Sus scrofa: one gene and its partners. The protein of the gene in region 2 purifies or fractionates together with the protein of the main gene of each other region. This does not show direct contact. Links are inferred from orthologs where the notes say so. Each region holds a gene or a part of one and is shown on either strand. Other genes may lie near its edges.

Region 1 (3,500 bases), on a different chromosome or scaffold from region 2:
CCTTCAAGGAACTCAGTTTTGTAAGATAGACAGATGCACTGCCAAAAAGCCAACAATTCCAACACAGGTGGTTCAGTAGAGTGACAGAGGTTCAGGCAAATCAGAAGCCTCTGGCTGGCTCCTTTTTTTTTTTTTTTTTTTGGCCTGCACCCACTGCCTGTGGAAGCTCTCAAGCCAGGGGTTGAATCTGAGCCATAGGTGCAACCTAGGCTACAGCTGTGGCAACATCGGATCCTTAACCCATGGCACCAGACCAGGAACTCACTCTGGCTCATATTTTTAACGAAACTCAAACACCCTTCGCGGCCCCAGAATATCATCTCCTGGAAAGCCTTCTACATTGAAGGGACTGTTACAGATTATTTATTAAAAAAAAAAAAAAAAAGAAAAAAGAAAAAAAAGCTGCTCTGGGAAGAAGGTAAGAACCATCTTTATCTACCCTGTAGTTCTGCCTTTGAGATCTTTTTTTTTTTTTTCCAGCTGCCCCTGGGGTGTACAAAAGTTCCTGGGCCTGGGATCAAACCCTCACCACAGGAGTGACCCAAGCCACAGCAGTGACACTGCTGGATCCTCAACCCACTGCACCACCAGGAAGTCCTGCCTTTGAAGCTTCTGACCATCATCTACAGTATGTACGTTTTAATGCCTGATCCAGGATATGCACACACGTGTATAAATGTCAGAAACCAAAACATCATAAAATAATTCCTCTACTCTGTGAGGAATTACTGTAATTCCTACTCTTTGGCTTTTCATTAAAAACATGCTGGCCCCCACGTGATGTTGAGTTCGTGCTCCGTGAGCTGGACCCTGCAGAATGAAAAACCCTGCACCAGCCTGCGGCAGACCCTCACTTGGCCCCTGGCAAACACGTCGGGAGAGGAGGGGCAGAGAAGCTGGGCAAGGCCCAGGAGTGGTCCAGGGCTGCACACACCGTCAGAGGCTTTTTGATGGCCTCCTGGATCTCCATCCGCTTTCGAGCAATGGTCTGGTCCAGCTTCCGCTCAAAAGCCAAGAGATCCATGTACGCCTGAGACTCTGGGACAAGCTCCCGAATCTGGAGGAAGGAGGGAGAAGGGATTCATCGGCTTGTCTCAGGTGCGGCTCCGGCTCCTTCCTCCTTTCCTCCCCCACCCCAGGGCTGGGGGAGACTGACTCCAGCCCCAGCCAACCAGCCCTTGGACGGGCCTCCTAGGCCCCCTTCCAACAAACTCACTCGCTGAGGTAGAACTTTATCTGCCATCTTCCTCCTCTTTAACCTGGAGGACAGAAACCCACTTAAGAGGTCAGTGGTCCAGAGGACCTCCCCCCCATCTACCTCTCCAGCCCCCAGGACCTTCTCCCAAGAGAACCGGGCGTCTTCCTCAGTCATCCCAGCTCTTAGGACTGAAGGAAACCCTGTTACCACCAGGCCGATTCTAGGTGGGGTGGGAGAAACAGGATGGTCTTACCCCCGGCGCTGGGCAGGCATCGGGGGCTGGGCCTGGGGCACAAGCAGGCGTTTTCGGAATGGATCCATCATGGTGGGTGGCATGCCAGGTCGAAGTGGAGCAGCTGTACCAAATGGGGAACCAGCAGGGGGTCCCACCTGCAAGCCAGCCATGGGCATCCGGCTCCCAGGTGACATGCCAGGCCGCTGGAGGAAGTGAGCCAGTGGGGGTGCATAGGTCAGCAGCGGGGCCCTTCGGGGCCCATAACCCATTCCCTCCATCCCTCTGCCCAGCCAGGCCCAGCCCTGAGCAGCTCACGGCAGAGCCCGGGCAGGAGTGCCAGGAACAAAGGGGAGCAGACGCCCGAGAGCAGAAGTGTAAACCACACCTGCCCCACCCCTTTCAACCGCCCTGGCAGCGGTGCCAGCGAATGAGGCCTGCAGAGCCCAGCAGGTGGGAGGAGAATCCTGCCTGCAGAGAGAAGAAGGGCCTGGGGACCTTTTCAGGGCCCATCACCACCTTCTAACCACCTTGCAGTCCTGGCACACACTGCCCTGCTCCCTGGAACCAGCCAGCTTCAAGGCACTCCTACAACTCTGATGGTCCCACCAAACACTCCCATCCTTCTCCTTCTCCCAGCATAAGGGAGAAGCCTGGGGGCAGTGTCCCTGCCAGGTGGTGGGAGTAATGTGATAAGAGCAGGCTGATGGGGCGCAGCCCCAGCACCCAGTCTGGTCATGTGATTGAGGGGAGAAAGGCAGTCCAACTGGCTGGCAGGCCCACCAGGCCATGGCACCCCAGGTGAGCAAACTGCAACAGGATGGCCTGGAACGTGTCCCAAGTGGGGGAGTGGCCTCAGGCAGAGTACGGAGACCATCTGGTCGCCATATGGCCCCTACTCACATCTCAAAACTGGACCCTTCTCTTACCTCCCTGCTTCCCGGCCCCCAACCCCTACGCCAGAACATCCCAAAGGGGACGCTGTGGCTCCTGAGCAGCCTGTGGGAGACAGAGCAGCTGGCACCTGCACTCTGCCCGTGGTCCACGCACCACCTGGCAACTGGGGCTGGCTCGGGCTCAGCGTAGCCCTGGCAATCCCAAGCTGGAGAATGGAGATGAGATTATCCCGGGATGCAGGCATCAAAGCCTCAGGGTCACCAGAGGAAACTGGGTGAGAGGTGGCTTCTTTAGAGGCCTGCAGAAGGACTCCCCACCGAGGGCCAGCTCCCCAACACCTCCGTGGAGCCCATGTGGGAGTAACTCCCGCCCCCTTCGTCATGGCTGCTCCTGCAAGGCCTGTTTGGCAGCTCTGCCTCGCGCACACACTGTCCCTGGCAGCTTCGCAGGGCTGGCCCCAGGGCCCAGATTATGCAACCAGCACAACCAGCCAACCAAGCCAGGCTGGGTGGGACTCGCACCAAATCAAAAGACCCTCACCCCGACCCCAACATCACGGAGACGAGATTCCCACTTCTCTTCATTTAGCACTCGGCCCATGTTCTCACCAAGGAGGGTCAGATTCTTGAGCAGATGCAGAGATTGAGAGAAACATGATTGAAAGATACGGGGAAGGGGGAAGGAGTGCTAGGAGGAGGGAGTTACACGTGGGGGGCTCTGGGACCTGGAGTCCCGCCACAAGGTTCCCTTCATCAGGAAGAGATTCACCTGAGCTCACGAGAGGCAAAAGACAGCCTGTTTCTCTGCCTTAATGAGCCACAGCTAGAGATGACAGAAAAAAACTCAGGGAGCCACAGCTGTAAGCCCAGCCCCAAGCACCCTAGACGTGAATTTCCCCCCAGCGCCTGAGCTGAAGGGGAAGAACAACCAAAGCGGCAGACCTGCAGGGAGAAGGCTAAGGCCTCCTTGCCAGGGCATCCGCACAACCTCCTCAGCGACAACCACCCCAGGCGGGTGCTCCTGGAACAGGAAGTCCTCAAACCGGGTGGCACAGGCAGGGCCTGAAAGAGGCCTCTCCCAGATGCTGCTCCAGATCCCAGGTGCAGAGCCCCCAGCTCGCGCCGGGCCCCAGGCTTCTCCCGAGGGGGAAGGGGCCCAGGGAAAAGCTGCTTA
Region 2 (4,188 bases):
AGTTCGAATCTTGACCTCGAGCAAGTGACTTAATTTCTCTAACCCTGTTTTCCCATCTGTCAAGTGGGGATAATTATAGTAATTACCACATCAGATGGTGTATGAATCAAAGGAGGTAACACAGGCAAAACCGTTAACACGGTTTTAATGCGGTGAGTGCTCGAGAAATGCCAATTATGGTTTTTTATATCAGTAAAGGTACACGAGCGTGTGCTACGATCCAGACACAGAACGGAGGCCTAAGTCCTGGTGTTCTTGGAAAGGAACAGTGAGGTCAGCAGGGGACGGTTCGGGAAGGGCCCAGAGTGCCAAGCTGAGGGGTCAAAGGTCAGAGGGAGCCATCGAAGGTTCTGAAGCTGGAAAATGACCCCATCAAACGCATGCTCTGGTAGCTGTGTGGGTGCAGCTGGAGGGGAACAGACCCATGAGGAGGCCGGAGCCGGGTGTGGGTTAGAGAGACGACAGGGCCTGGGCAGGCAGAGGAAGGCAGACAGACACATTGAGAGATGGATCTGATCAGACAGGGGACTGACTTTACGGGAAGAAAGAGGAGCTGATGAAGACTCAGGCCCAAGATCCTGGCTCGCTGGCTGGGTGAACTTGGGCAGCTTCTCTGGGTTTCGGGTATATCATCTCTCAATGGAGATCGTAGCCCTCATAGGGCTGCAGTGGGGATGAAATGAGATAAAACATGGAAAGAGCTTAGCGGGGTGTCGGGCACGCAGAAAGAGCTCAGTAAGTATTAGCTGTAACTATCACCGACTGTTAATCAGTCTTTTGATTATTACCTATTCCTCAACAAATATTTCTTGAGCACCTGCTAGGTGGTCCGCAGTGTTCCGAGGATACAGCCGAGAACAGGATCAAGATGGGCCCAACCTTCAGGAAGCGGACAGGAGGTGGGAATGGGGAAGAAAGATATTTAACTACTCAAAAGCTAAATTTACATGAAAATCTGTGATAAGTTATCTACAGACCCAAAGAAGCCAGAGGAAGGCCAAAGGCCCTAGAGGAAAGGCAGTCACTTTCCACAGGACTCAGGGATGGTCTCCAGAAGACTCGACACAGGAGGGGGACCAGACAGAGGACAAGTGGGGGGCTGCAACCTTGGAGAGGACAAGACACAGAGGAGAAGGTTCCTGGGAGGCACCTGGTCCTACCTCTCTCCTGGCCCAGCTGTGGGGGCTGAGCATCCTCAGGGACCCCTTCCGGTGGTCCAGCAGGTGACACAGGGCGGCTGGGCTGGGGGGTGCCCCCAGGGCTGGGCTCCGTGCCCTTTTGCAGGGAGCCTTCTGAATGGAAGCTCTGGTTACTGTTCTCATCTGTGGGAGCAAGAGCAGAAAGGGTTGGGTCTGAGGCGCCCAATCCCCTCCTTCATTCCCCACCGCTGCCCCAAAGCCCAGCCAGCATCCCCGACATACCGTTGAGATCGAGCAGGATGAGAGGGCCCCCCCCTCGGGGACTGGCGCCCCTGCCCCTCCGCTCGCGGCCTCGGGATCGCTCTGCGCCGCCACCTGCCCTCCGACGCTCCTGGGGGTTAGAGGACGAAGGGTTACAGTCAGCTTTCTAGTTAGTGCTTGCAAAGCCCCCACTGAACAAATAACGACATTGAGGCACAGAGAAGCAGAAGGCCCTCCGTGAGCGACAGGTTGTGCGCCACGGCGGCGGCGGCGGCGGCGTTAGGCCGTGAACTCAGGGGGTCTGGTGGCGGGGGAGGGGAAAGAGGCGGAGTTGCTAATAATTGTTAACATCTGTTCCCGAGGCTGCATGTAAGGTCTAAGTGGGGACTGGAGGTGGAGGCCAGCCGCCGGGAGGGGCTTGCCCGAGGTGGCCCAGATGCAGGGCCTGGTGTGGGGGAGCTTGCTCACCTCTTCCTGGGGGTCCACCACTGGCACCCACTTGAAGATACGCAGGGAAGTGTCACCCACAGTCACCCAGCGCTTCTCCCTGTGGGACGGTGGAGGGACGGGGTCAGAGAGGCCTGAGGAGAGAGCCAGCCCAGGAGCTGGATGTATCTGGGGATACGTGTGGAGGTGGGGGTGGTGCGCAAAAGAAGCGGCAGCGTGGCTAATGGGACTTGGAGGGAGAAGCCCGGCAGACCTCAGGGCATAGGTGGGGGGCGGGAGAAAGAGAGAGAGGGAGAGAAAAAAAAATAGGCTGGGGTCACGACGCGGCAGACCCCTGGGGTATACATGGAGAGCGCGACTATAGGCCTGGGACCACAGCCTCGAAGATCCCGGGGCACACTTGCGGGAGGAGTGTCAAAGCTTTAGGGGGCGGGGCATAAAGGGGGGGTTCCAGCTCTGGGAGGGCAGGGCTGGGGAACACGCTTTGTAGACCCCAGGGTGTAGCCAGGAGAAGAGAGATAGAGCCCTGCAGATCCAGGACGCAGCTGGGGGCGGCGGGGGAGAGGGGCACACCTAACACCTGGGGGCCACAGGTGGCGGAGGGGGTGTGGACGTGTCGGGGGAGGAATGGCCCGCCGTGGCCCGTCCCTGGCCCCCGGGGCAGCGCTCACCATCTCCGGACCTTCTCGATGGTCGCCATCACCTTCTTGATGTCATCCTTGGCCCGGCTCCGGGTCTCGGCCCGCACGGTCCGGCCGGCCATGCTGGCGGGGCTGGGGCCGAGGCCGAGCCCGCGGCTGGGCCGCCTCCCGTCCGGCGGGCTCAGGCTCGGCGCCAGGCCGGGGCGCCGCTCTCTCGGCCTGTCGCCCCTCCGGGAGTTGGCCGCGCCCTCCCTCGCTCCCCAACGCCTCCGCGAGTCCCCGCCCCGCTTCCTGCCGCCGCGCCCCGCCCCGGCCCGTCCCCGGAGCCGCCCGGCGGCGCGGGCGGCCAGAGCCCAGGCCTGGAAGCCGGCCGGCCCCGCCCCGACCGGGCCCGCCGCCTCCGCCTCGAGGCGCCCGGACGCGCAGCGCCCCCTGCCCGCGGCCGAGAGGGAGGTTGGGGCAGCTCGGCGACTGGACGCGCGCGGCGGGGCTGCGGCCGTGCGTTCAGACCACGTGGGCGCCAGGGGGCGCGAGAGGATCTGTGTCCCGGGTGCGACCGCTGCGCGTGGGTGGACCCTGGAACGGTGTGTGTGTTTGTGTGTGTGTGTTTGCGTGTGTGTGTGTCCCTTGCTCGGCTGCCTGGTTCTACGCTGCAACTATCTCTTCATCCATTCATTCTACAGGCTATTAACTGAGGGCCAGTTACGTGCCAGACACTGTAAATGTACTGAGTGCCTCTTCCACCCTCCAGAATGGCTCAGATGAGACCTTGCCAAGTGGAGGCGAAGTAGAGCAACTGGACCTCTCATATTTCTGGGGGAGTGTAAATTGATAGAGACACTTTGGAAAGCTGGCGCTTTTCTAGTGAAACCGAACGTACACCAACCCTGTGACCCAGCAGTTCCGCTCCTGGATGGTTAACACCCATCAGAAATGCGTGGGTAGGAGCCCCAAGGGACCTGTACTGGAATGTCCATAGCTCTGTTCCTAAGCGCCTCAGGCTAGAAACAACCCATCCACAGGGCCATGGAAAATAAATTGTAGCCTGTTCACACCATGGACGACAGGGCAAGGAGAGTGATGTCCTGCTACACACAACATGGGGACGTCTCGTGAAAGAGGTCAGAGAAGCAATACGCCCTGTGATCCCATTCAGAGAAAGTTCTGGACAAAACCAATAAATGGTGCGAAACACCGGGGAGAGTGGTCACCCTGGGGACTGGGAGGGGCTAAGAGGGGCCTCTGGGAACTGGTCAGATTCCGTTTCTTAATCTGGTGCTGGTTCCCACGGCATATTTACTCTTGGAAAATTCGCGGAGCTGTACATATAGGATGTGTGTACTTTACCCTGTGTCTATAGCACGTCAATGAAAAGCTTACTTAAAATACATGTGTCTTGGTTGATTTTGTTTGAGGCTGTGTTTGCCAGCAGGTATGACATTCTAAATTTGTGTTGCTGTGTGTGAATGTGTCAAGGGTGTGGCTCTCGGGTCTGTGTGTTTTGGTGTGACTATGTTCAGAGGTGGTTATGACATCATTTCTGGGCCAAATCGCTGGGGTAAAATCCCAGCTCTGCTTGTCCAGTGACCTCAAACAAGTCACTTATCACTATTTTCTCAGCTGTAACATGGGAATGAGTTAATATACATGTAACTCTTAGAACAGCATCTTGCGCATAGTAAATACCCAACAAGAGTCAC
Region 3 (3,500 bases), on a different chromosome or scaffold from region 2:
GTGGCTCTTCCATCAGAAGGGGCTGCCACCTCCAATTTCCAGAGAGCACAGAGCATCCAGCAAACCTGTGGTCACTGACGGCTGGAGTGGCCCGGCAAAGGTCTGGTGACAGGTCCTTCGGACTCCCAAACCCAAGCCCTCTCTTCCTCTGTCCCACTTCTAACTCTGAGCAGCAAAATACCCCAGCGAAATCCTGGGCAGTCAATCCCCATGCTTGTGAGAGAGAGACACACACACAAAGGAACCCGGGTCACAAAGGCCAATTGTACCATGAGCCTCCGCATTCTCTCCTTCTCGATTCTTTCGTTTTCCTTCTTCTGTTCCCGCTCTGTGTTGGCGTGGTAAGTGGCCACCGCCTTTGTGAGTTTCTGGATTTTGCCTGTGACTGATCTGTGATATTCTTTGAAATCCTTGGCATGCTGAAGAATGCTGTTGAGGTATTCCTGTAGGAAGCACACAATAGAGCAGACTGACTACAGGACAGGAGTCGCTGCATCGAACATCAAAGGTAGCTTGGTGAAAACCCAGAGGGCACAATCTAAACAACACATCGACCCTATGCCCATGAAGTCCAGCATTCTCTGCGTCGGGATAAAACTCCATGCCGGCCTGTGGCGTGAAGGGCCTTCCCTCGTGCACAGTAGATGGGGTAGTCCACAGGGCTTCCACTGGGCTGGGACCACCTGGCACTGTCTGCCAAGTGCTTCCAAACACAACTGCCTGCCAGCCAAATCACTCCACTGCTAGGGATTTATTTCAAGGAAAAGAGCAGAGACTGGCCCCCAAATTCAAGTATAAGAAAGTCTATCCCAATGTTATTTTTAATATTGAAAAGCTGAAAATATACTGCATGTCCCCCAGTAGGAAATGGTTTCATAAATTACTGGATGCTGGACATACTGAGAAGGACTACAATGTAGACACTAAAATCATGCTTCAACAATACTCTAAACAGGTCAACATGTGTATGTTGTTTTAAAAAGTGGCTGCTTAACTTGTGATTACTATATGTAAGAAAAAAGAAGATTGGAATGATATATACCAAAATGTTAACAGAGGCTAACACTGAGCACTGACTTTTTTGTTATCATAAACCGTATCAGTAATAGATACTGATAGGAGAAAACTTCATAAAACATATATCAACAAAATCAACCCAAATCCTATTTGAGGAGAGATTCTGGTTTCCTTTACTGATGTTGTAACAACCTCTGCCAGATCACTCCCTCTGCTTAGGACCCTCCAGGGCTCTCATCTCATTCAGAGTGAAAGCCCAAGTCATCCCCTCGCCCCATGGAAGCCTTGCATGCTCTGCCCATCACCTCCCCCTTCTCCCCACCTCCTGCTCGCCTCCTTGCTCACTCCACTGACTACACTGGATCCTTGCTTTTCACAGAGCAGTGGGACACAACCAGCCCCAGGGCCTTTGCACCTTCCCCTCTATCTGGAAACACACACATCTGGTGGCTCCCTCCCTTGGGCCTCAGAGCTCACCTGCTCAGGGAGGACCTCCCAGACGGACCATCCTCCATCACGCTCTAGCCTCACTTCATGCTTCCTTACACCCTATTAACTTCCAACATGTTATACACGCATCTGATTCTACTATTTGGCTTTGTCCCCTGATGTATTTTTAATGCTCAGAATACTGACATAACAAACGGAAAAGAGACACAGACAGTGTGTTGACAGATAAACCAAGGCTCAGCAGCTTACAAGCTGACACCCTGGACATGTGGGCAGGCTAACGCGCAGCTGCAGGGACCTACCTGGTGCTTCTGCCGGCGCTTTCGCTCCTGCTCAATCTTTTGCTGCTTCTCCAGCTTCTCGGTGATGCGGGCCTCGCGCAGGGACTGCCGCTTGCTACGCTTGTAGGCCTTGGCATTGAGGGCCGTCTCGAGGGCTGTGTCCCTCCGCATGCACACTACCACCTCCTGCCGCAGCTTCAGGAAGGAAGAGGAGAAACTGGTAACGGGTACAACTCCGCGACATCTGAATGACATGCACAATTCCACATGGCAAGCTGGGCAGAAGGCTCCCGCTCCCAGAAGGACCCATGAGCACAAATGTGTGCACGGGGAGGACACATGGTGAGGCCCTCGGGTTGGGAGATGGCTGCTTCTGGACACCCGGCAGAGAACACTCTCACACCTCAGGTCTCCAGTTCTACCCTCCCTCAACCACAATCAAACAAAATTTCTTATTGGTTGTTCAAAAGGAAAGGACCCTCAGCAATAGACCCATCTAAGTTCCCTGCTTCAAGCTGGTCACTGCCGCCTTAAGGAAGACCCACGTCTATTCAGCCTGTGCCTTCACTGAGCAGTTCCTCCACTGGGCAGGATGTGCAGAGGAAGGGGGGGGACAGTGACCTAATGAATGTGGGTGAGCACTGAGGCTTTTAATGGTCAGGGTGCATTTAAAGACCTGAAGCAGTAACATTGACAGAAAGGGCTCTTTTCCTAAAGCATCAGCTGCGCCTGCGCCCACCTGCCTCTGGAAGTTCAGGAGCCTGAGGGCCTTGAGCTCAATGGTCGCTTTGGTTCGCAAATCCCCGGCCAGGGACCCGGGAAGGTTTTCAAGTTCCTGAATTCGGTGTGCGATGCGAGCCTGCAGCCTAGAGTGCAAAGATAGAAAGAAGAGCAGGTGATGGGAGGTCTCACTTGTTTATAAGGAACACACCTCTTCCTTTTCTTTAAAGCCAGAACCTCAGAAGAATCCAACCCTTGAAGGAGGCTGCTACTGGTCACAAGACAGGACATGGCTAAGAAAAGGAGGCCACACAACACAGACTACACACAGGACAGCAGCTGCAGAGGTCTCGGGAGCCACGGCAAACAGGAAACCTGACAGGGCGCAGCAGGCTTCTGCCATTTCAGCAGTGGGAGCCAGGCTCTGGAATCAGGCAGCCAGTGTCTCCATCCCAGCCCTGGGAATCTACTTAGCCCCTGAGCCTCAGTGTCCTTAGGTGTGAAGTGGGGAGACCCTTCATAGCACCCTCCAGGGTTGCTAACTGTAAAAAGAGACTTCAAAAAACCTGTATGGGAAACAGTACACAGGTAAGGATGAGAGCAGGGAGGAGGCATAGACCAGACAGCAAGGTGAAAGGCGCTGGGGGTAAGGAAGCTGAAAGGGTTCACCAAGCGGACATCAGGGATGAGGAAGGGCAAGCAAGGGTCAAGGGGCCACGGGGGCCACGGTCCACTCAGCTACAGGATGGTAGGTGCATGGGAACAGAGACAGGAGGGGAAAGTGGGTGGGTGTACCACCATCTGGACAGGCCATCTTTAAGCCGTCCAGATGGGGAGGTGCCTGGGTATAGGGGCTGGAGCTCCAGGGCACAGCACAGCTGGAGATGCACTCTGGAGACGGTCATTTGGCAAAGCTTTCCTGGTGCATCTGGGGAGTTTATGGTGCACAAGGCACAGCCCCCTCCTCTGATGGAGCCAATATTTATTTACCAAGGGAGGCTAGCCCTGAACAAGTCATAATGGAGAAACAGG
Region 4 (3,500 bases), on a different chromosome or scaffold from region 2:
GCGGAAATGACTCTGACTAGTATGCATGAGAATTCAGGTTTGATCCCTAGCCTTGCTCAGTGGGTTAGGGATGCAGCGTTGCTATGGCTATGTCCATGAGCTATAGCTCCGATTCGACCCCTGGGAACTTCCTTATGTCACAGGTGCAGCCCTAAAAAGCAAAAAAAAAAAAAAAAAGTGAATGAGTGAGAGTCTATACTGAGAAGGAGTGGTAGGTGGTGCAGGAACAGAACTCCAGGGACCCGCCTCCTGGCCCACAGCGTCCACTTCTATTCGGGCTGCTGTGTGGCCTCTGGGGGAGGAAGATGGTTTCCATCAAAGCCCCTTTAACCACAGTGTTATTCTTGTACCTTCCGTGCTCGACTGTTTGTCACAGGAAATTCGCCCAGGCTGTCATCATCAACTCGGGGATCTGGGGCACCTCGCTTCTCCATGGGGTCAGTGCGCAGCAGAGCCTCTAAACTACTGCCGTCCTGAGAGATCAGGCCCTCCTTCTTCAGGGTCTGGTCTGTGTCTGCAAGCAAGGTCAGGGTTAGGTGAGGCTCATAAAGGCTGAAAGAGGACCTCTCCAGGTCTACACAGGACTAGACTAGCCACAAGCCAGTCCCTGTCTCCTGGTCTATGGCTGCCCAGAAACCAAGGCACTGTAGTTCACTTGGCACCATTAACTTATCTGTTTATCTGTCTCCTCTATTAGACTGAGTTATTTAAAGAAAAGAATCTCATCTTATTCATCCTATTATCTTTAGGACCTAGCATGGGGCATGGAATACAACAGGTGATTAGCAGGCATCTTACTATGCTTCAGGCCACGCCCTTGCTCAAGGAGGAGTGCGCTTTACCTGGTTTAATAGATGGGAAGGAAAGCCTAGGATCCTCAGGAGGGTGAGCGCGCCGCTTTTTCCGCCAGCGCCGGGCAGGGTAGGAATACAGCTGCCCAGAGGCCAATCCTGTGGAAGGAAGAAAGAAGTCAAGCCCCAACCCCCAGTCATAGAAAATGATAAATACCAAACACTTTCTATGTGAGTAGGCTCTGACTGAGTTCTAGAGCAAGGGAGGAATATGGACAGGGAGGGCCTCGCAATTGGGGGAGGCATGGTTTATGGAAAAGAAAAACAGATGTAAGCTCAGGGGCCTTGGCTAACACACAGCTCTCCAAAACCCAACAGGAGCCTCAGCGGTGTAGCCCTGCAGAAAGCAAAGATGCTTCATCCTTCCTGGACGGGCTTCTAATCATGGGAAACCAGTCACCCATGGGTGTAAAGCAGTAGGGAAAACCCTTTCAGATGGCTCATCACCTAAGGTGAGGAAGCTTCTTTCTCCTCGTGCTCCTGAGTGGGACCCTCACCTGGACCCCGGTGTCGCTTTTCCATCCAGATATAACAGTTGCTTTGGGCTACCCCAGTCTGTGAGTCCAAGAAAGGCAGGCGTACGCTGCGCTCAGCGCAGAGGCGGGCATTGTAATTGTGGCACTGCTCCATGGCATCTTTGTAATACTGCTCCCCAAGGCTGCAGGAAACACAAAAATCAGGGGTGTGTGTGTGTGTGTGTGTGTGTGTGTGTGTGTGTGTTGGGGGAGGGGTGTGAGGCGCTGTGCATTCCCTTTCCTTTGCCACCTGCTTCTCTAGAAGGCTCAAGGGACTGGGAGACTGTCACTCTGCTTTTATTTGCTTCCATTTCTGCCTCATGGGACTCCAAGCCCCTTCACTATGCCATTAAGAGGAAAGGCACTTTACAAAAAAATTACTGTCGGGAACACGTGATTTCATCATGTCTCATCAGACCTTAGTCTAACCCATGAAGAAGGGAAGAAAATAATGTTCATTCTGTGCCTCTCATGAGTTCAACCCTGCGCTAGCCAAGATGCTATTTCTCTTACTCCTCAGGATTCTGAGGAGAGGTTACCTCCTTTTTACAAATGAGAAAAGAGTTCAAAAGGACTGGGGGACTTACTAAATTATAGTTAGCAAACTACATTTATATAAACTTTATCTACATAAACTATATCTATACAATGAAATTCTACTTAGCCATAAAAAAAGGAAGCTCTTCATGTACTAATATTAAACAATCTCCAACAATCTCCAATCTACCATTTATGCAGCCAAGTGGTAGAAAAGAAACTGTAGGCCTCCAAAAAGAATAGCCAGGTGACTAGGGGACTTTCTCCTATGTGCCATTTTGTATCTTTTGAATTTTAAAGTAGGTATTTATTCAACTAATTCTACATACTAATTTCACAATCAATGGAAAACATCTGAAAATACCTGAACACTCTTGAAGCCTAGTTTCTACTGAGTACCATAATTCTGGGACAAAACCTGTTTGCTCGAACGCCCATCCTAGGCCCTTCTTCACTCTCACACCATCAAATTTTTAAGGAAAGGAACCTTCTGGACTCAATTTGAGATGTGAATTTTCTAAGTGCTTAAAAAGCTGCAAAACTGCACATCCTTCAAGATTTAACAAGCAGGAGTTCCTGTCGTGGCGCAGTGGTTAACGAATCCGACTAGGAACCATGAGGTTGCGGGTTCGGTCCCTGCCCTTGCTCAGTGGGTTAAGGATCCGGCGTTGCCGTGAGCTGTGGTGTAGGTTGCAGATGCGGCTCGGATCCCGCGTTGCTGTGGCTCTGGCGGAGGCCAGGGGCTACAGCTCCGATTCGACCCCTAGCCAGGGAACCTCCATATGCCGCGGGAGCGGACCAAAGAAATAGCAAAAAGACAAAAAAAAAAAAAAAAAAAAAGATTTAACAAGCACTTTAGTATTGGAGCTTAAACTAACTACAGTGATTCATATTTATATATTCGATCAATCTTTTTTTTTTTTGGTCTTTTTAGGGCCACACTCACGGCATATGGAGGCTCCCAGGCTAGGGGTTGAATCGGGGGTGTAGCTGCCAGCCTACACCACAGCCACAGCAACACAGGATCCGAGCTGCATCTGCGACCTACCCCACAGCTTACGGCAACGCTGGATCCTTAACCCACTGAGCGAAGCCAGGGATCGAACCCGAATCCTCATGGATGCTAGTAGGGTTCGTTAACCACTGAGCCATGACAGGAACTCTATTCAATCAATCTTAAACAAGCGGAGGGCAGAGATGACCTCATCCCCACAATATCCTCAGTACCCTTGAAGGTGTCTGGGACATCTTGACCCGAGTCGGGAGTAAAAAGACCTGGTTTGGCTGCAAGTTATCACGTAAGCACAGACATGAGTCAACCCACATGGACCTTCGGTTCTTGTGCTATAGATTGGGGAGGCTGAACTTGGATAAGCTCTGACATATTCTACAAGAGGGAGACTCCTAGCATGAAAAGCTGAACAGAGCAAATTTCTGTTGCTTATGTCCATAACTCAAGCTACATCAACAAACCCTGCTCTGGAATTTGAGGGGGGCTTTCACTGGGCAGCCACAATAGACCACTAAGGCACAGCTTAGCACGTTCCCAGAAACTGAAAGCCACACACTGCACACAAAGCAGTGAGACCACAAGATA
Region 5 (4,194 bases), on a different chromosome or scaffold from region 2:
CGGGGGCGGGGGGCTGGACAGGCCGAGCTCAGCCCAGATGGCATGTCTCGGACCCAGCTCCACCCTCACGCAGATGAATGGGGCTCTGGGCCAGGTGGCCGTTCCACACGGTGCCTCAGCGCTTCCTTCTGCACCAGGGGCCCCGACGGGGGACTAGCCAGGCTGTCTCCTCTCACGCTGCCTGCCGGGAGTTGGCGCGCTCACTACGGGCCTGAGAGCCAGCACCTCTGAGCCGGAGGCCTGCCTGGTGGCAGGGCAAGGCCAGCTCCACCAGAGGCCCTGCCACAGGACGCCACCCCTCCTGCCTGGAACGAACCCCTGTCCGGGTCCCAGAAAGCTTTCGGATGTTCGCCATAGCAGGTTTGGGGGTAGGTTTCCAGAGCCCAAGTTGTGCCAGGATCAGCGGTTTCCTCCCAGCTGTGTGCTGGGGTGTGTGTGTGTGTGTGTGTGTGTGTGTGTGTGTGTGTGCGCTCGCGCACAGGTGAGGGGCGAGAAGGCGTGTGTCTGGGTGTCCGTGGGGAGGACATGGAACAAGCCAGAGGAGGCTCACTTGTCCCTGGCTCCGACTGGCTTCAAGAGGCAGGACCCAGGGACAGTGGAAAGTAAGGGGACCCTGAGCAAGAGGGGGGGCCAGTGTGGAGGTGGCTGCCAGCAGGGCCTGGGCAGAGGTTCCAATTGGGGTAGGGGATGAGAAGAGGCCCTGCCACAGGTCCAGCTCGGGGCAGAAGGGCCAAGAGGGGGCCCAGGGGTAGGACCAGAGGCTGAGAGCCAGTGACTCTCAGTGGAACCCCGAGGCTCCTGCTCCAGGGCTGGCGGGGGTGGGGTGGGGGGAGGGCAGCAGCGCCTACCTGTACCACGGCGGGTGGGTGCTGAAGGCCTGGAGTCATAGGTGGCAGGGTCCTGCAGCGGGGGAGTCATCCAGTGCCCCCTCGGTGCCCGGGCCCAGAGCCTACCGTGCCTGCAGCACCAAGGGCCATTCTGGGGGGGATCTGAAAGGAGAGGGCAGTGGGAGGGACTGGCCAGACCCCGAGCCCCAGAGCCAGACTCACAAGGGCCTGCTGTGTGGACCAGCTCCATGACAAGGTCTGAGGAAGGCAGGAGGCGCGTAGGAAGGGAGCAGGGGGCGGGCTGGGCCAGCCTGGCTGGGTGGCACAAGGAAGGGCAGCGTGACTGCAGGAAGCAGTCAGAGACCAAGGCCTACAGGTCAGGCCTGGAAGGATGCGAGTCAAGGAGCTGGCAGAGCCCAGGCCCTGGCAGAGGCAGCACCTTTGGGGGGTCCTGTCAAGAGTGGAGGAGAGAGCCGGGCACTGGGGTGGGGAGGGCATGACCGGCAGCCAGGATGGGACCTGGATGACTTCTGGAGCTCAAGGATGTCCCAAGGGACAGCTAGGGGTGGGTGGCAGTAGAGCCAACCCGCTCTGTAGTCTGCCCAGCCGACAGTGGGCCCTCCCTGTGTGCCCAGCCTTCGTGGTCACCCCCTGCCAGGGAGGAAGGCGGTGGGCTAGGGTCAGAACCCAACTTGTGGGCAGACAGCAGGTTGGGGGACGAGGAGGGGGCAGTGTGGTAGCTTGGGAGCAGTGTGGGGGCTTGGGAGCAGTTCAGGGGCATGTGCTGGGGGTGTTGGCCAGAGGGTGACTCTGAGAAGGGTGAGGAGGCAGGGAGGCAGTGAGAGGAGGGAGATGCCAAGAGGGGAGGATGTTACCAGCCTGGGGCAGGGGAGGAGGTACCTGGCAGGAAGAGGGACAATCTGAATGGGGGAGAGGTGTTGGGCAAGAGGAGGCCAAGAGGAAGGGGCACAAGGGAGGGAAGGAGGGGCCAGGCAGGGGGGAGGGAGAGGGCCAGGCAGGGGGGAGAGGGGAGAGACAGGCGGGGGGAGGGGGAGGAGGAGGGCAGGGGAGGGGGTTGGGCCAGGCAGGGGTGGGGTGGGGGTGCCAAGCATGGGGGAGGGGGGGAGATGCCAGGTAGGGAGGGGGTGGGGAGGAAAGCTCCAGTCAGGAGCAGGGCAGGAAAGTGCTGGGCAGGGAGGAGGGGACAGGCCACTGGGGACAAGTAGGTACAAGGCAGTTGGGGAGGAGGGAAGGTGCCAGACACGAGGGAGGAGAGGAAGGTACCAGGCAGGAGAGTGCCAGGCAAAGGGAAAACGGGGGAATGCAGGGGAGGGGGAGAGGGGAGGGACCAGGTAAGGGGAGGAGGGAAAGAAGCCGGGTGAGGCGTGGAGGGGGAAGAATCAGAGAGGAGGCTGGATGGGAGTTTGCCAGTCAGGGAAGAGGTGCAAGAAAGGGAGTGGGGGGAGGTGCCAGGCGGGGCGGTGGGGCGAGGGGAGTCAGGAGTGGGGGGAGAGATCAGGAAAGGAGAGGGGGGGAGCCAGGCAGGGAGAAGGGGGTGCCAGGTAAGAGGAAGGTGCCAGGAAGGGGTAAGAAGGGAGGTGCCAGGCAGAGGGAGAACAGGGAAATGCCAGGCAAGGGGAGGGGGGAAGGAAACGCCAGACGGGGGGGGGGGGCGGTGAGGGATGCCAGGCAGGCGGGAGGCGAGGAGGTACCAGGCGGGGGGGAGGAGGGATGCCAGGCAAAGGAAGGAGGGGTGATGCCAGTAGAGGCAAGACGGGTACTGCCAAGCAGGGAAGGCCGGGGCGCCGGCGCAGCGCGGCCGGGCGGCGTCTCCTCCAAGGGCCTGGGGGCCGCGCGGCGCGGGTCGCTCACCTGCTCCCCCGGGACCCCGGCCCGGAGCGCGGTCGCTCGCTCCCTGCTCGGCGCTCGGCTCGGCCCGGCGCCTGCGCCGCTGCTGCCGGGAGCGGGGGAGGCGCAGGGAGCGTCTGCAAAGAGCGAGGAGCTTAATAATGAGTTAGGGATCAGAGCAGTCAGCGTCGCCCCATCCATCCGAATGTGCGATCGCCACGCTTGGAGCACCGCGGCGCGCACTGGCCGGGCCCATTGTGATGTTCATTTAGTCAGTGCACAGATGTGCCTTCGTCTGTAGATGCGCCTCTGCGCCCGCGGATTCACATAGACCTTCAGAGGGTCCGATGTGACCGCAGACATTAGGCGCATGGGACCACAGACAGACAGACACACACACTCTCAGTGGGGAGAGGGCCTCGGTTCCACTCCAGGTTCAAGGACAGGCTCCGACGGATGCCCCCGCCCCGCCCCGTCATGCATGTGCACGCTCCTGGTCTAATCTGTGTCCCTCCGGGCTGTACTACCGATTCCGCGGGGACGCTGGCCCCGGAGAATCCCTTCCTGGACTTGCAGCCAGAGGAGCCGCTCTGGTCACTCCGCAGGCTGTCTCTGTGAATCTGACTATTCTTGAGTACTTCATACAAATGAAATCATTCTGTATTTGCCCTTTGGCGACTGGCTGATTTCACTGAGCATAACGGCCTTGAGCTTCATCCATGCTGTAACGTGTCAGAAATTCCATCCTTTTGAGGAGAAGATTCCTGTTGTCTGCATATATGCAATGCACAGATGAATATATGCCATTTTTTTTTAAGTCTTTCTGGGCAGCACCTGTGGCATATGGAGGTTCCTAGGCTAGGGGTGGAATTGGAGCTGCAGCTGCAGGCCTACACCACAGCCACAGCAATTTGTAATCTGAGCTGAGTCTGCCACCTACACCACAGCTCACAGCAATGCTGGATCCTTAGCCCACAGAGCGAGGCCAGGGATTGAACCTGCATCCTCATGGATACTAGTGGGGTTCATTACCACTGAGCCACGCGGGGAACTCTTACACACCACATTTTGTTGACCCATTTGAAACTGACAGTATTAATGGCCTGAACCTAGCCAGAACACAGATTGGGGCTTGAACCCATGTTTTAAACGAGCACTCACCTGAGGTCTGGACTCACTGAGGTTCAGGTTCTTTATGCTTCCGTGCAGAAGGAATTCAGCGAGAGACACAGTGATAGCCAAGAAATAGATTTATTAGGATAGGACGCTTGTGAGGGATGCCAGCAGGCAGGCAAGGAAGCTCTGCCCCACGAATCAGGTGGGCTACAGCTTTATCATCCAGGGGGAGTGGGGGTCGGAAAAGCCCGCCTCTTCCTTTCTGGGAGTAGCAGCTCCTCCTGGGTATCCGGAAAGGTGTGTATTCAAATCCGCAGAAGGGCGGTCCTCAGATTCCTGCCCTTGGTCTGAATCTGAACGCAGCCCTCACCCCATCCCCCACCCAACGACCTGAGGCAATTCT
Region 6 (3,500 bases), on a different chromosome or scaffold from region 2:
GTGAGCGCTCGTTGGCTCGGGCACCACGCGCTCCTTCAGTTTCTCACTCTGTGCTGGTCCTCGGCTGGACCGGCGCCGGCTTACCTGGGAGAGATTGAACGTAGCGACCGTGCTGTCATCATACAGAAGAATGTTAATAGTGTCCAAAGCCCAAGTACTCTCGGCCAGGAGACCTGACTTAAGGGACATCATCACACGCCAGGCCTCAGGAGTAACTGCAGTTGGAAAAAACGACGGCGGGGTTAATACTGCCTCTAAGCACAGAGGAGAGAAAAGAACCAGAGAATCAGAAAAAGAAGGCGGGGGTGACGTGAAATATGGACTTTTAAACAAATGCTCTTCGGGACAGCTGAACGTGGTCATTTCGGGATTGAGATGGGGAGACGGGCTGCCCTGAGAAACTTCTGCAGCCGAAGAGCTTTTTGCTTTGCAGGTTAAATGGGAGGGGTGGCTAAACACAAACGGTCCTTTCTGTATTTGTCTTTTGCTCCATTCACAACTGTCTCAAGGTGACGTCTTCAGAAGGCTGGCAAATAGGCAGAATATAGGCACAATTTCATTCCCCAACAGCACAAGCTCAGATACGGAGTCTCCGCTCTCCCACACCGTCTTCCCTCTGAGCTCCTGCCTGCAGAACACGCTGTTGACAGGTACTAGCACTTTGATGGTTCAGAATTTTCAGGACCTCGGCCTGAGCCAGAGGATGGGCTGGACTTTTGTTTTCCCCATTCCTCTTAGTGATGAAGCCACAGCGATGAGAGGAAAGGTTTGCAAGGTCTGTCACAAGACGGGACTCGGAGGGGAGTCCCATCATGTGTCTGAGAGTTCAAAGGGAAGCTGTCTCAGGAAGCCGGCAGAAACAGCGGGTGCGGGAAGACCTGTGCTGTCAGAACCCCCAGAGCAGCAGCCAGGCCAGACCAACAGTGATCCCAAGGGCAGGAGGGGCCGCGGGTTGCCACTTTCGGTTTAATTTCATCTAGTTTTCAAAGTTTCTAAGATAGACACATAATACTTTTTAACAGAGAAGGCAAACTTTCATTTTAAAATGAGGACCCTGAGTTTCTCTACAATTTATACAATTGATACAATTAAGCTCTATTATTTCCTTTGCTGTGTTATAAGTACTTCAAAAAATAATGCAGGAGGAGTTCCCACGGTGGCACAATGGGATCAGCAGCATCTCTGCAGCACCTCTGTGGCGCTGGGATGCAGGTTCCACCCCGGCCTGGCACAATGGGTTAAGGGTCCAGCATTGCACCTGGAGAGTAGGTCGCAACTGCAGCGTGGATCTGATCCCTGGCCCAGGAACCCCATATGATTTGGGGTGGCCAAAAAAGGAAAAAAAAATGTAGGGAGTTCGCTGGTGGCTCAGCAGGTTAAGGATCCAGCACTGTCACTGCTGTGGCTCTGGTTGCTGCTGTGGCCTAGGTTGGATTTCTGGCTTGGGAACTTCTGCATGCCACGGGTGTGGGGAAAAAAAAAAATGCAGAAAAAGGTAGTGTCATCCCAGAAATTCCAAATTTCTAATTAGTATTCAGAACATCTCACGCAGAATGAACAGGTGACATCAGCATTCAAATGAAAGAGTTCCTTGGGCCATATCAACAGTGCTACAGAGATTATATCGAATCCTACATATCGTACCATAGAAAATTTCATAGAGCCTATCATGTTACCTAGCTACACACCACAGCCAGGCTTCTATATTTTCCTAGGGAAACTCACTGTCTGTAGGTTATTACCAAAATTACAGAGTGGTTTTCTAGCAAAATTTCGCAGGCCACGCTAGCATTTCTGCAGTCTTGGAGCTGTTCTGTTAAGCACACAGGGCAGAGATGAAGTGTTGGGTTCAGCTTAGATCTTTTGAGAGCAAAGCACAGTAGGGAGTCACAAGGAGTCCCTTGGAGCTCCCCGGTTGCTCTCCCTTCTCACACAAACAACATTCACACGTAAAGGTGCCGTTTTAATGCTCACTCCGGGGCTTAGTTCAGATTAGGGGCTTCCAACTACTGCTCCTGCACCAAAATACGCCCTGGGAGGGTGCGATCCTAGAATTTCAGCCCTTTGGGATTAGGGGACCACATCTACCCTCAAACTGACATTCCAGATGGCAACCGGAGTCCGTCTGAGGAATGCTTACCGATATCCTTTGAGGTAATCTTTCGCCTTTGTTTCAAGACTGGCTGTGAGGCTTCCACAGAGCCGGGAGGAAAGGTGATCTCCCTTCTGATGGGGGGTGGCTGCGGGGGCGGCCCCGCGACCTGGGCCGTGGGGACGGTGGGCATGGCCTTCTGCATCTTCATGGCGGGCAGGAAGGGGGACTTGCTGGGAGACAGACGGCTCTCCAGGGAGCGCTGGAAGGACGCGGGGCTGGGCGCTCGGGAGATGTGATTTGGCAGTGACGGTGGCGTCTGGTAGGAGGACTGAGGCGGGCGAGTGATGGGCTGCATGGAGGCTGAAGAGGACATGTAAGGCTGACGCTGGCTGACGTGAGAAGGCCACTGGCTCTCGTGATTTATCCTTTGATCAGGTACCATCATATCATCCGTGCGGTTCATGCCTGGATAGGGAGGTGCCTGTGCAGGGCCGCCGGGGCCTTGCCTATTCTGGTAGGGGTAAGGCATATCGTTACGCGTGGCCCACATACTCTGCTGAGGCCCTTCGCTGGAGGACGACTGCATCGGGCCACCCATGATCTGGGGCGGGATGCCGTGGGGCTGTATCTGGCCCGGGCCCTGCATCCGCTCTCTGTTGTAGGGGTACGGGTACTGCCCCTGGATGGGCCGCCGGTCCGGGCCCGAGTAGGAACCGCTGTACTGGTTGTACATCTCCTGCTGCTGGTTGCCGTACTGCATGTTGTACACGTCTCCCTCGTGGCGCTTGGCGGGAGGCCCATACATGCCGTCCATATGGCGCTTGTAATTCTGCAAAGTCATACAGACGAATCACACCGATGTGCTTTTACAGGTATCACCCACACTTAAGTTAGACAAAACAGTTAGTACCTGGTGGAGCGTTCCTTTCAAAAGGAGCACGGGGCGCTCCCGCAGCAGCGGAGGAGCGCGCCTTCACCCCGCCAGGCGCCCGGACGGGGCGCCCAGTTTGTTCCCACGCACGCGTGCGTGCGAAATTGTCTGCAGGTGGAGCAAAAGCCTTCCTGCCTGGTATTTTCCAGGGCTGCGATTTGGGAGAGCATGGCTTTGGAGACCACTGCACAGGCAGGGCCGCCCCGGGGCTCGGAGATGCGCTAGGACGACTTCATAGGTAGAGAGAAATGTCGCGGGGACGGACTGAGCATTCTGAAGGCCAGCCCGGAGGGCGCCGCGGTCCAACAGACTCCTTGGGCCCAACTTTACAGAAGAGCCTCCACGCAGGACTGGCTCCTCAGAATGGCCCTGTGGCCCCCGCCCCGGCTGCCGGCTCAGCCGGGTCACATTCGCCATGAAAGCCTCTGAGGACAGGGCTGGCTGGTGTGGCCCCCGTTAGGAAGCTCTCCTCCT
Region 7 (3,500 bases), on a different chromosome or scaffold from region 2:
TCTCAGTACTGGGGGCCCATGGCTGCTGGCAAAGTACTGGCTCGAAAGGTATCAGAGAACAAGTGGGAGGAGATCATGTTGACCAGGGATGGCTTAATTCCCTGGTCGCTTAGCACTGTCTTTGTCAAGAAGATCCTAGGCCTTCCCAATCTTCCCCAGGCACCTGTACTCACCTGACTGAGGTTGAAAGTCATGATGCTGTTGTCATCGTACAGCAGGATGTTAATGGTGTCTAATGCCCATGTGCTCTCTGCCAGCAGCCCAGACTTGAGGGACATCATCACCCGCCATGCCTCCGGGGTTCCTGAAATAAACCTCCACGTCGTCCATCCACCAAGCCCAGGTTGGCAGGGGCCCTCCCACCCCAGAGCTGGCTCATCAGTCAGGCTACTCTGAAGAGAACACATGGTGAGAGGCAGTTCCCATCTGGGAGATGACACACATCTGCCCCTCAGGGCTTCTAAGCTCTCTTAGGACATCACTGTGTGGCGATTCCTTTAGTAAAGCCTGATATCAGATGATTTCTTCCTTACCCAAAGTTCTTGGACTCTCTTTTAGTCAACACTGGACCTGCTTTTAACTCATCCAGAACATCGGGATGGAGAGAGAACAATGAACAAGATGCAAAGGGGCAGATTCAGCAACCCAATCAAGGAGGTCTCCTTACCGATGTCTTTCATTGTAAGCCGCCTCCTCTGCTTCAACACAGGCTGTGTGGCTTCAACAGAGCCAGGTGGGAAGGTGATATCCCGCCGAATCATAGGGGGCTGCACAGGGGCAGGTGCTATGTGCGAGGCAGGTACTGGAGGACCTGCCTTCTGCATCTTCATCCCAGAGTGCAGGAAGGGAGACTTGCTAGGAGAGGTTCGGTTCTCCATTGGCCGGGGCAGGGGAGCGGGGCTGGATACCTGAGGAATGTGATTCTGCATGCTTGGTGGGGGCTGGTAATTAGATGGCGGGGGCCTCGTCATGGGGGGCACCGGGGCAGAAGGACCATATGGGGGCTGGCGTGTGCCATGGGAAGGCCATGGGCCTTCATGGTTGGCCCTCTGATCCGTGTGCAGCATTTCATCTGTTCGGTTCACGCCATGATAGGCAGGGCCTTGGGGGGCAGAGCCCGTGCTCTGCCTGTTGGCGTAATTATAGGTCATGTCATTACGCCCCTGCCACATGGTGCCTTGTTGAGCAACCTCAGCCGATGCCTGTATGGGGCCGCCCATCATCTGCGGTGGCATGTTTTGCTGGGCATTGGAGCCAGGGGGTGCTGAGACACGGTCTCGGCCAAACTGGAATGGAAACTGGTTCTGGGGGCCGCCTGCTGGTCGGCGCTCAGTAGCAGCAGTGGCAGTGGCAGGATAGGCGTTGCCATACTGGTTGTACACATCTTGCTGAGGGGAAGGCTGAGCAGCTTGTTGCTGGCTGGCAGGCTGGGGCTGGGCTGGGGGCAACTGCTGCTGCTGGGGCTGCCCCTGACCCGTGCTGTATGGCACGCTGTACATCTCCCCTTCATGCCGCTTGGCAGGAGGGCCGTATGTGCCATCCATTGGCCGCTTGTAATTCTAAGATAGGGACAAGCAGAGGGGAAATTAATACTCTGAACCCGGGGATAGGAGACCTACAGCTGACAAGATGGCTACATCAGACACGTACTGGGCTTACTTCTGCCCCTCTGAGAGAGGAGGGGACACAGATTCCATGGGAACAAAAGAATCACCTTTACACGTTATCTTTTGAAATTGTTTCTGAAAGTAAGAACCATTCTTTGTTCCCTCTGTCTCTCCCTTGCTCTACGTAGAAAAACGTAGCAAAGTTTAAAAATCAAAATAAGGCCTGTTTCTAACACTTGCAGAGAACTAGAGACTGGATTAGACTCCAAACAGGGAGAAGATTGAGGGCTTGGCTCTTTAGACAAAAATGGCTATTTGGGAAGAAGAACACCAAACCATCTCAAGTTTTTGACCAAGGTTTTCTAACTGGCTCTCAGAGGAACCAGTGTCATCCCACCCACTACCTTTCTCACCTGCTGCTGCTGCTGATACATTGTGGTCTGCTGGCTGGGGAAGGGGCTGCCGGAAGGGGTGCCTTGAGTGGAGAACTGATTGCCATAGGAATCATGTCTGCAGGAAGGAGAGAAACAGAGGATCAGGGTGGGATGGCGAAAAGCCTTAGCCACAGCAGCACCAAGACCAAGCTTCACTCACCGTTGCTGCTGCTGCTGTTGCTGCTGCTGTGGGGGGTAACGGCTAGGAGAATACATCCCCGAGTCTGGGGTGGAAGGCATGAGATTCGGCTGTGGGGCTCCAGTGCCCATGTTTCCCTCGGGTCCTATTCCAGGCTCCGTCCTAAAGAAAAAGCAGAGAAGCAGGTTGAGTCCGTGCTAGCCGTGGGGTCTGGGGTGGGACTGGAGTGGGGGCCATGCTTACCTCACTCTGTCATAAGGACCTCCATAGGGATAGTGCTGCCGAGGTCCCATCGCCACATTTCCCAGCCCAGGGCCGGCAGCTCGACTGTAGGGGTCCCCCATCCCGCCGTTGGGGCCCTGCCCTGAGGACATGAAGGGATCACTCCCTGGAGCTGAGAGCAAAAGGGAAGACAGTGAGCAAAGTGGTTGTTCAGCAGGCCTAACAACCTATACTTTGCTTGCCCCAAAGGCCAAGGACCTCTCAGAGCTCAGGTTTGTTCCAACTATTTTTCTGACAGGATTGAAACAGAGATCTAAAGAGGCATGTAAAGGGGTGACACGGTGAAGAGCAGGAAATAAAAAAGGAGGATGAAGGAGGGGGTTAGGTCCAGAAGTGCCTCATCTCAGAGGATGGTTCAATAGGAACCTTGAACCACTCTCAAGATATCCCCCCATCCCCTGGCCCTGTCCTGAAGGACACAAGGCCAACTGCAGTTGGTCACCTTTCCTCATGCTGCCATAAGGATCCTTATTTGGCTCGTAGGACATGCGCCCCATCATGTCAGAGGTATTCATACTGGGCTGGTACCCAGGGTTTGGAGTCATGGAATTCCGCTTCTGGAATGTGGGGTCACTTCCATCAGGAAAGGCATCCTGGATCCCGACTGAATTGCTCCTGCTCAAGAGTGAGGAAAGCTCATTAGACCCCAAACGAAGCTATTACTCCAATAACGCGAGGCACATGGGTTCACTGGTCGGGAGACCAGGGACCCCCTGAGCTGCACAGGAGCTCATGCACTTCGGGCCCAGGATTCCCCAAAGCACCTGCCCCTGCTCCTGGCCTCACCTCATGCCTGGCAATGGGGGGATCTGGCTGTGTGGTGTGGATGCTGGAGTTGGTGGCTTCAGGTCTCCTCCTTCTGCCATGGAACTGCTGGTTGACTGAGGTGTCTGTGGCCCCTGCATTGACCCTGATCCCGCTGTGGACAGAGATGCAGGGTAAGCAGGAAAGCGTTTAACCCTCACAGAAACACACAAATGTCCCAGAATCTCTATGAAAAAGATTGTTATGAGGCTAGAGCTGTCTGTCACCCTTCTC

Evidence for each region.
Region 1: the proteins of BCL7C (region 2) and SMARCD2 purify together in Homo sapiens (affinity purification with mass spectrometry; 3 studies listed by BioGRID and IntAct, counting the BioPlex papers as one, with this or other methods). This does not show direct contact. The link is inferred for Sus scrofa from reciprocal best matches to the Homo sapiens genes BCL7C and SMARCD2.
Region 3: the proteins of BCL7C (region 2) and SMARCA4 purify together in Homo sapiens (affinity purification with mass spectrometry; 6 studies listed by BioGRID and IntAct, counting the BioPlex papers as one, with this or other methods). This does not show direct contact. The link is inferred for Sus scrofa from reciprocal best matches to the Homo sapiens genes BCL7C and SMARCA4.
Region 4: the proteins of BCL7C (region 2) and DPF2 purify together in Homo sapiens (affinity purification with mass spectrometry; 4 studies listed by BioGRID and IntAct, counting the BioPlex papers as one, with this or other methods). This does not show direct contact. The link is inferred for Sus scrofa from reciprocal best matches to the Homo sapiens genes BCL7C and DPF2.
Region 5: the proteins of BCL7C (region 2) and SMARCD3 purify together in Homo sapiens (affinity purification with mass spectrometry; 3 studies listed by BioGRID and IntAct, counting the BioPlex papers as one, with this or other methods). This does not show direct contact. The link is inferred for Sus scrofa from reciprocal best matches to the Homo sapiens genes BCL7C and SMARCD3.
Region 6: the proteins of BCL7C (region 2) and ARID1B purify together in Homo sapiens (affinity purification with mass spectrometry; 4 studies listed by BioGRID and IntAct, counting the BioPlex papers as one, with this or other methods). This does not show direct contact. The link is inferred for Sus scrofa from reciprocal best matches to the Homo sapiens genes BCL7C and ARID1B.
Region 7: the proteins of BCL7C (region 2) and ARID1A purify together in Homo sapiens (affinity purification with mass spectrometry; 5 studies listed by BioGRID and IntAct, counting the BioPlex papers as one, with this or other methods). This does not show direct contact. The link is inferred for Sus scrofa from reciprocal best matches to the Homo sapiens genes BCL7C and ARID1A.

What each region holds. Positions count from the first base shown.
Region 1 is NC_010454.4:15,094,926-15,098,425, reverse strand, and holds part of SMARCD2 (SWI/SNF-related matrix-associated actin-dependent regulator of chromatin subfamily D member 2), read right to left. Parts: intron 1,637-3,500; coding exon 1,452-1,636; intron 1,260-1,451; coding exon 1,217-1,259; intron 1,058-1,216; coding exon 935-1,057; intron 1-934. UniProt on the Homo sapiens protein: Involved in transcriptional activation and repression of select genes by chromatin remodeling (alteration of DNA-nucleosome topology).
Region 2 is NC_010445.4:17,546,158-17,550,345, reverse strand, and holds the start of BCL7C (B-cell CLL/lymphoma 7 protein family member C), read right to left. Parts: upstream 2,801-4,188; 5' UTR 2,611-2,800; coding exon 2,519-2,610; intron 1,948-2,518; coding exon 1,869-1,947; intron 1,531-1,868; coding exon 1,422-1,530; intron 1,323-1,421; coding exon 1,161-1,322; intron 1-1,160. UniProt on the Homo sapiens protein: May play an anti-apoptotic role.
Region 3 is NC_010444.4:69,737,707-69,741,206, reverse strand, and holds part of SMARCA4 (transcription activator BRG1), read right to left. Parts: intron 2,615-3,500; coding exon 2,488-2,614; intron 1,944-2,487; coding exon 1,770-1,943; intron 444-1,769; coding exon 270-443; intron 1-269. UniProt on the Homo sapiens protein: ATPase involved in transcriptional activation and repression of select genes by chromatin remodeling (alteration of DNA-nucleosome topology).
Region 4 is NC_010444.4:6,879,999-6,883,498, forward strand, and holds part of DPF2 (zinc finger protein ubi-d4), read right to left. Parts: intron 1,510-3,500; coding exon 1,349-1,509; intron 951-1,348; coding exon 843-950; intron 515-842; coding exon 351-514; intron 1-350. UniProt on the Homo sapiens protein: Plays an active role in transcriptional regulation by binding modified histones H3 and H4. Is a negative regulator of myeloid differentiation of hematopoietic progenitor cells. Might also have a role in the development and maturation of lymphoid cells.
Region 5 is NC_010460.4:5,957,072-5,961,265, reverse strand, and holds the start of SMARCD3 (SWI/SNF-related matrix-associated actin-dependent regulator of chromatin subfamily D member 3), read right to left. Parts: upstream 2,801-4,194; 5' UTR 2,700-2,800; intron 990-2,699; 5' UTR 888-989; coding exon 849-887; intron 1-848. UniProt on the Homo sapiens protein: Involved in transcriptional activation and repression of select genes by chromatin remodeling (alteration of DNA-nucleosome topology).
Region 6 is NC_010443.5:9,797,381-9,800,880, forward strand, and holds part of ARID1B (AT-rich interactive domain-containing protein 1B), read right to left. Parts: intron 2,925-3,500; coding exon 2,141-2,924; intron 216-2,140; coding exon 85-215; intron 1-84. UniProt on the Homo sapiens protein: Involved in transcriptional activation and repression of select genes by chromatin remodeling (alteration of DNA-nucleosome topology).
Region 7 is NC_010448.4:84,115,729-84,119,228, reverse strand, and holds part of ARID1A (AT-rich interactive domain-containing protein 1A), read right to left. Parts: intron 3,382-3,500; coding exon 3,249-3,381; intron 3,081-3,248; coding exon 2,905-3,080; intron 2,575-2,904; coding exon 2,424-2,574; intron 2,343-2,423; coding exon 2,202-2,342; intron 2,118-2,201; coding exon 2,021-2,117; intron 1,560-2,020; coding exon 668-1,559; intron 305-667; coding exon 174-304; intron 1-173. UniProt on the Homo sapiens protein: Involved in transcriptional activation and repression of select genes by chromatin remodeling (alteration of DNA-nucleosome topology).